2 linked regions of the Rattus norvegicus genome follow. The protein of the gene in region 1 binds, or shares a complex with, the protein of each later gene. Links are inferred from orthologs where the notes say so. Each region holds a gene or a part of one and is shown in the gene's direction. Other genes may lie near its edges.

The links.
Region 2: Tubgcp2 (region 1) and Tubg2 share a complex: the UniProt entries of both Homo sapiens proteins name them as parts of the gamma-tubulin ring complex. The link is inferred for Rattus norvegicus from reciprocal best matches to the Homo sapiens genes TUBGCP2 and TUBG2.

The regions. Positions count from the first base shown.
Region 1 is NC_086019.1:204,228,645-204,232,454, reverse strand, and holds part of Tubgcp2 (gamma-tubulin complex component 2), read left to right. Parts: intron 1-328; coding exon 329-518; intron 519-1,192; coding exon 1,193-1,338; intron 1,339-1,959; coding exon 1,960-2,140; intron 2,141-2,412; coding exon 2,413-2,593; intron 2,594-3,810. UniProt on the Homo sapiens protein: Component of the gamma-tubulin ring complex (gTuRC) which mediates microtubule nucleation.
Region 2 is NC_086028.1:86,590,228-86,594,469, forward strand, and holds the start of Tubg2 (tubulin gamma-2 chain), read left to right. Parts: upstream 1-1,382; 5' UTR 1,383-1,487; coding exon 1,488-1,536; intron 1,537-1,812; coding exon 1,813-1,925; intron 1,926-2,116; coding exon 2,117-2,284; coding exon of another isoform or gene 2,285-2,306; intron 2,307-2,589; coding exon 2,590-2,658; intron 2,659-2,933; coding exon 2,934-3,013; intron 3,014-4,242. UniProt on the Homo sapiens protein: Tubulin is the major constituent of microtubules, protein filaments consisting of alpha- and beta-tubulin heterodimers. Gamma-tubulin is a key component of the gamma-tubulin ring complex (gTuRC) which mediates microtubule nucleation.

The DNA.
Region 1 (3,810 bases):
ATCTTGTTTTAGTGACCTATATAAGGAAGGCTCCAGTGCATTTCCTTTCTCTTGTTGTTGAAACAAGGTCCTCTTCTGTGTTCTAGACTAGTTAGCGAACTCAGTTGTACAGTCCGCACTGGCCTCTTACTTGCAGTCGCCTTGCTTCAGCCTCCCAAGTGCTGAGGTTTGGGCGTGTGCCACCGTGCTAGGCCTGGAGGCTTTTCTTGATCAGTCTTATTAGCAACTGTAGCCTTGGCATCGGAACATGGTACCTGGCTTGCTGGGGCTCCTATCCACCAGGGGTGCTTAGATGTCTGGGTAGTGAGCCACCCCTTTCTGCCCACAGCCACCTCCGTGGATAAAGGCGAGTGTGTTGGCGGGTCGACGCTGAGCCTTCTCCATGATAGGAGCTTCAACTACACAGGGGACAGCCAGGCGCAGGAGCTGTGCCTCTATCTGACCAAGGCGGCCAGCGCTCCTTACTTTGAGATCCTGGAGGAGTGGATCTACAGAGGCGTCATTCACGACCCATACAGGTAGGCTCTGCGGGTGCCAGACACCTTTCACTTGGACGCTCACGGTGCAGTAGGCTCTGCGGGTGCCAGACACAAGTCCTCAACATCAACACAATGGCTGTGAGCTGAGGAGCGTGTGTCACTCACTCACTGCCTTGCAGCTTTGTCTGTTGAATGAGGAACACTGGTATTAACTCTGGAGCCCACGTCCTTACTGCTTCCACGTGGTTGAATAGTGTGTCACTTGAGCATGATGCCTTTGATTATGTAAAGCAAATGACCAGTTGATAGAGAACTGGGGATGAAGGAAGCCCAGGCCTTGCGTGTGAAGCCCAGGCCTTGCGTGTGAAGCCCAGGCCTTGCGTGTGCTCTACCGTAGGGTGGGCCTTGTGTTTCTTTATGGAGGGGCCAAACAGGAGAATTTGGTGTGATGGGCCTAGTAGGGGACGCGGTTTCCTTCTGGCCACAGGTAAATGGTTCTTGAAGCTCTGTGGGAGGGTCTGATTCTGTTGTTGATAAACCTGTGTACCCAGGACAAGCCATATGTCTGTCCTGTTGCCATAATGCAAGAGTAGGGAAGAAGCCACCCAGCTCTGCAAATTAGACTCCTGCTCCCAAGTAAGGCTGGAAGTATGTGACCACCCCGAGGTTGTCCAGGCTTGTCCTGTAGTGGCCTGAAACACTGTGACTTCCAGTGAGTTCATGGTGGAGGAGCACGAGCTGCGGAAGGAGAAGATACAGGAGGACTACAATGACAAGTACTGGGACCAGCGCTACACTGTGCTGCCACAGCAGATCCCATCCTTCCTGCAGAAGGTAGCAGGCAAGATCCTCAGCACAGGTGACTATGCTTGGACCGCTCTCCAAGGAGGTCAATGGCCTCTTCATGCTGTGTCATGGGACCCGTGGGTCATCACAGCCTTCCAGGCCCTCTGCCCCTGAAGATGACTTAGCTGGGAATGGCCTACTACCCTGAGCTTCTAGCCACTGGTTGGCCCTAGTTCTCCATCACTTTATTCAGCCCCCTAATCAGGACGCTGTCTGCCTCAGACAAAGCCTTCTATCTTGGGTTTTACATCTAACTCCATCATATAGCAAAGAAAAGCCATGAGGAACCCACACCTTCCAGGCCAGCTGCATCTTTTAGTTTTATTGCACAGGATAGGGACTGATGTAGAGATTAGGCAAATCCTTGGGGCCTTAACATAGTGCTCTGCTCTGAAAGCTGAACAGAATCAGAAAGGGCTAGGAGATTACTTAGCAATCTATCTCTCAAGGCTTTTCAAAATCCTTCCTATAAAATACAGACCTGAAAAACTATTGCACAATCTTTCCAGGAAACAAATTGTACCTCATGTCTGGCCTACTTCCCCATGTTTGATTGGCGTCATAAAGGCCCAGGCCTGAGACTCAGCATGTACAGGGATACTGAGTCCACCTTCCTTTTTCTTTTTGTTCTCAGGAAAATACCTAAATGTGGTCAGAGAATGTGGTCATGATGTCACCTGTCCCGTAGCCAAAGAGATCATCTATACCCTCAAAGAGCGGGCATATGTGGAGCAGATTGAGAAAGCGTTCAATTATGCCAGCAAAGTGCTGCTGGACTTCCTCATGGAGGAGAAGGAGCTGGTGGCCCACCTGAGGTTGGACTTCACTTTGTATCCAAGGGGCTGAAAGTAGAATGTTCCTCTTAGCAACTACATTTTTATCTCTATAAGGGCTCCCTGCAGCCCCAGTGTGAGGTGGCAGGGTTTCCGTTCTCTAGTTCTCAGACCATGCAAGCCAACAGGTCTCTCAGCTCCTTGCTGTCAGTCCCTCCCCTTCCGTGTCTGAGCAGAGCAGCTCCATGTCTCAAACCTCTTCCTTGTATGTTGAAGGCAGAGGTCAGGTTATATGTTCAACAACCCTGGCACAGGTCCATCAAGCGCTACTTCCTGATGGACCAGGGGGACTTCTTTGTGCACTTCATGGACCTGACTGAGGAGGAGCTCAGGAAGCCAGTAGAGGACATTACGCCCACACGCCTGGAGGCTCTGTTGGAGCTGGCCCTGAGAATGAGCACTGCCAACACTGACCCCTTCAAAGACGACCTCAAGGTGAGTGTGGTGTTTACCATCATGGCACCTTGCTTCCGCTACACTGGAGTGAACACATAGCAGGGCCCAGTGAGGGTGTCCTACCGGATGTTCTTCCTATTTCAGAGGACACTGGCTTGCAAGCATTTTGTTAAGAGATTTGTGTCTGGTCTCACAGGAGACACTGTTTGTAATTTTCCTGTGAGTTTGGTCCATGTCAGTGTCAAATCAGGCCAACCCCTCACGGAGTGTAGGTGGACGGATGCTCTTTCTTCCTCAGGTTGGGGAGTGGTGTGAGTTATTCAGGGTCTGTCAGGGCTCTTTTCTCTGGGAGATACTGCATCAAGGCTTCATTTCATGCCGGTTGAGGTCTTCCATAACTTCTGCTTCCAGAGTTCATCCTGGCCACCAGTACATTTCTGTTGCCATCAACAGGGTGTGTGTTTGCGGCCATGCAGTAAGAGCTGTTATGGTTTCTAAGGTTGCAGGAGAACTCCACTTTCATCTCTGGGTCCCGTGGTTTGTCCTCTTTCCTCGCTCATGGAAGTGAGAGCTTGTCAGTCCCACTGATGTTCTTAGGAACTCAGTCTTGGTTTTAGTACTTCCTTCCTTTCTCTTTGTCTCTTCAGCTTATTGTTTCTGTTAGCTTTGGGCCTACTTTCTGTTGGTAGTTTCTTGAATTTTGAAGTTAGGCTATTTTAGGATGCTTTATTTTCCCCTATTTCAAGAGGCTCTATGATTTCTTTAGTGATTTGTTTCCATTTAGTTGTAAATTTTCAGGATTTTCTTCTGTTGCTTAGGATTTTTTTGTTTTTAATTTTTATTTTATATGTGTGGATATTTTGCTTGCACACATACCTGTGCAACACATGTGTGCAGAGGACAGAGGAAGGCATGGATCCCAGGACCTGGAGTTACAGACAGTTGTGGGCCACTGTGTGGGTGCTGGGAACTGAACCTGGGTTCTCCAGCTCTCTTACTTAGTTTTAACCTCACTATTTCATGTAAGTTTTATAACATCATGATGGTGCTGGGATTCTGCATGGGCTCTTCCTCTCTTGGCAGGTCTTGGATGGTTCTCAGTGCTGTGCACACAGCTTCCATCTGTTACGAGAGTGAGGCTGAGGCTCCACTGTTCCTGAGAACTTGGTTTTCCTTGCAATTCTGTTCTTCATGTATTTCTGGATCTCTTATTAAGTTCAGGAGTTATTGTGTAGGGTGCATTATTCCTAATGGCA
Region 2 (4,242 bases), on another chromosome or scaffold:
TTTTAATTTTTTTTTTTTTTTTTTTCCGGAGCAGGGGACCGAACCCAGGGCCTTGCGCTTGCTAGGCAAGCGCTCTACCACTGAGCTAAATCCCCAACCCTTTTTTTCTTTTTTTAAAGATTTTATTTACTTATTTTATATGAGTACACTGTCGCTGTCTTCAGACACACGAAAAGAGGACATCAGATCTCATTACAGATGGTTGTGAGCCACCATGTGGTTGCTGGGATTTGAACTCAGGACCTCTGGAAGAGCAGTCAGTGCTCTTAACTGCTGAGCCATCTTTCCAGCCCAGGACCTACTTTCTAATTATATTTATTTATTCTGTGCAAGTTTGCATACTCCAAGAGCAAGCATATACAGGGGTCAAAGGACAACCCAGGAGTAGGTTCTTGATTCTCTCTTTCCATCATGGGGACCCCACAATCAAACTCAGATATTGTCAGGTTGGTCAGACAGGCCCTTATGACGCCCGCCAGCCTAAGATGGTGATTTATTTTATGACCCAGGGTCTCACTATGTAGCTCCAGTTGGCCTGAAATCCATTAAATAGATTGGATGACCTAGAACTCACAAAGATCCTCCGGGCTCTGCCTCTGCCCCGCCAAGTGCTGGGATTAAAGGCACAAGCCACCACACCAGGTCCCAGATGACAAACTCTATAGTTTTCATAGTGTAAGACTATGAAAATAGCTGAACCCTTTTAGTCCCAGCACTTGGGAGGCTAAGGCAAGCAGATCTATGTATTCGAGGCAGCCTAGTCTACAGAGTGAGTTCCAGGATCGCCAAGGCTACACGGAGAAACCCTGTCATGATACACAAAAAGATAAAATTAAAGAATACACACACACACGGGGTTGGGGATTTAGCTCAGTGGTAGAGCGCTTGCCTAGCAAGCGCAAGGCCCTGGGTTTGGTCCTCAGCTCCAAAAAAAAAAAAAAAAAAAAAAAAAAAATACACACACACACACACACACACACACACACACACACACACACAAATTTGGCTTGGGTTAGATGTGTAGCTAAGTGGTTTGGCTCTTGCCTAGCATGCTCGGGGACATGGGTTCAATTCCCCAACTTAAATATAGCCCCTCAATTTAGCAGATCCGGCAGGTGTAGGCAGGTGACTCCCACACTTGGAGCATCCACCTGGCCGCTTCTCCCTCTCCTCCCCCACATCCCTGGGGATCCTCCGCTGGCCAAGTGTTACCGTGCGCACGCGCACATAGTGACAGGAAGCGTGGCCTCACTCTGCGCCTGTGCTGAATTCCAGCTGCAACTGCTAGGAGAGAAAATGATGCCCAGGATGGGCTCTGCCGCCCGCCGGCTGCGGAGAGCCCACACTGCACACGCGCAGACACAGCGCCCGCATCAAAACAGCGGCGGACAGCGCGTTCCCCATGTCCTGCGCCTCTGGCTGGCAGGAGTTCCTCTCAGCCGTGACCCCCGCCCGGCCAGGCCAGACGAGCTCCCGTCTGATCGGAGATGCCCCGGGAGATCATCACCCTGCAGCTGGGCCAGTGCGGCAACCAGAGTGAGCAAGCAATCACTGTGCCCCGCTAGTCTCTGGTTCTATCCCTCGGGCCGCACTCAAGTGCCTGGTACCCATCAATTCCCTTTGTCCTTCCCATGGACCACCCTTCCTATTGAGCATGATGATTCAGGGAAGAGCTGCCTTCTCAGCCCTGGGCTGTGACATCTTCCAGACCCAGGCGTTTTGGGTCACCTCCTGGAGTGTAATAGGCTCTGAGCCTGGGGTTCTCAGGCCTTAAGGCTCTAGCAGACTTGGGCCTCTTTCCCCCTCCCCCAGTTGGGTTCGAATTCTGGAAACAGCTGTGTGCTGAGCATGGCATCAGCCCGGAGGGCATCGTAGAGGAGTTCGCCACCGAGGGCACTGACCGCAAGGACGTCTTTTTCTACCAGGTGCCCCTCCCCCTCCACAGAAACTTGCCAGGACCTTGGAGACCTGAAGGGACTGGCAGCCACATGGTGCTGGGAAAGTCACTGGGCAGATGGGAACAGAATGGCTGTCTTGAGGGAGGGCCTGCCGAAACCAGAGTTGGGGACTTGACTCATCCTAGCTCCCTGGGCCAATCCTGGCTTCCCTTTGACAGGCAGACGATGAGCATTACATCCCCCGGGCTGTGCTGCTGGATCTGGAGCCCCGGGTGATCCATTCCATCCTCAACTCCTCCTATGCCAAGCTCTACAACCCAGAGAACATCTACCTGTCCGAGCATGGAGGAGGGGCTGGCAACAACTGGGCCAGGGGATTCTCCCAGGTGTCAGTCCCAGACTTTCTTGGTAATCCTAGCCAGGGATAAGGCAAGGCTCAAACAAACCTGGGGATCTGTCCAGGCTAGACTTGCAATTATTAAAGAGACTAATGGATATGTTGAGAAGAGGGACTACTTGGAAGGTTATGCAAATTTTATGTAAATCCTTTCACAAAGTAGCATTTCTGGGTTGAGAAAGGTTGCAGTCGGGAAGCTCAGCTTCAGGATGGCAACAGAGACCAAGTGTGGAGTTCTTGGTGCTGAGAAAGGAGCCTTTGGCCTGACTTTCCCTTCCCCATGTCTACATATAGGGCGAGAAAATTCACGAGGACATCTTTGACATCATAGACCGAGAAGCAGATGGAAGTGACAGTCTAGAGGTGAGGGTGTTCCACAGGGAAACAGACTGGGGGAAAAGATCAGGCAGGATTTAAACACGTGATGCGGTGGAGCCATTCAACTGGGCATCCATTCGGGGACATCATATAGAACGCATTAAGGTGACTAAGCCACTGCCTTGTTCCAGGGAAATCAGAATCTCAGTGCTGTCACTTAGCCTCTCCTTGGTCTCTGAGCCTTTCCAAGGAGCCTCAGAGACAAGGCTGATGTCTCTCTTTGAGATACCTGGACACTGCCTCTTTCTCTCCCCATTCAGGGATTTGTGCTGTGTCACTCCATTGCTGGGGGGACAGGTTCCGGTCTGGGCTCCTACCTCTTAGAGCGACTGAATGACAGGTAAGCCTGCGTTTAAGAAGTCATTAGCCTTGACTCTTTGGTATGCGGGTTAATATTTTAATTACACTGTTGCTTATTTTGGGGGAGGCATACCTGTCCATGCATAGATGCATACGTGTGGAGGTCAGAGGACAGCGTGTGCCGGTTGGTTCTCTTTCACCACGTGGATCTCAGGAACCGCTGAGGTCATTAAGTTGTGGTGGCAAGCATCTCTACCTTACCCGCTGAGTCACCTTACTGTTGACTGGTTTCTTTTTTTTTTTTGGGGGGGGGGGTTCTTTTTTTCGGAGCTGGGGACCGAACCCAGGGCCTTGTGCTTCCTAGGTAAGCGCTCTACCACTGAGCTAAATCCCCAGCCCCTGGTTTCTTTTAAAACCCAGTTATGTTCTGTGAATGTTTTTGTTTTAATCCCAGGTGTGGGATGAGAGGCTGCTTCCCAGCAGGTGATTATGATTTGCCTCATGCACTGGAAGGGGCGTGATCTTTGCCAGCTGCAGATAGTTTGATTCTGGGGACTCTGGAGAGAGTATAAATGCCAGAGGCCTGAGAGGGGCAGGGGTGCTTGAAGGGAGGCTGCTACTCTCCCCCACCCCCCGCTTCTGGTTGCTGTTGTTGGTTAACAGGAAGCTGGAGATACCCTGACATGAAGATCGAACTGGCCCCAAGAAGCTCGACAGCCCTAATCAGCAGGAAGTAGTCTAAAGAGGACTATGACCGCTTCCCCCTTTAGCCTTCTTTCTCCCATATCTAGTGTTTGGGGCGTTGGAAGGGATCAGAGTGAAATAAAGGTTGGAAGGAAGGTAGAAGTAAAAAAAAAAAAATAATAAAATAACTAAAAAACAAAAAATGCGAACACCTCATTGGTCAATAAGAAGAGAGTTTTGATGAGTTACCTACCTTGAGCTGACCTGTTAACATGTCTGGAAGGGACTGGCCTGATGGTTAATTGATACAGGAAGACCTGGCCTATTGTAGGTGGCACTATTCCCTTGGTAGGTGTTCCTGCACAGCATAAAAGAGAAAGCTAGCTGCCAGCCAGCAAGCAAGGATCCATGCATTTAATTCCCTCTGCTCTTGACTGTGGACATCCTGCTTTGACTCCCCAGAAATAATGTGTTGTAACCTAAAACTGAAAGTCAAACAAGTCCTTTCTTTCCCAAGTTGCTTTTTGCTGTGTTTGTCACAGTAACAGGAACTGAAGTAGAATTCCTAGATAATCTCTTTCCACG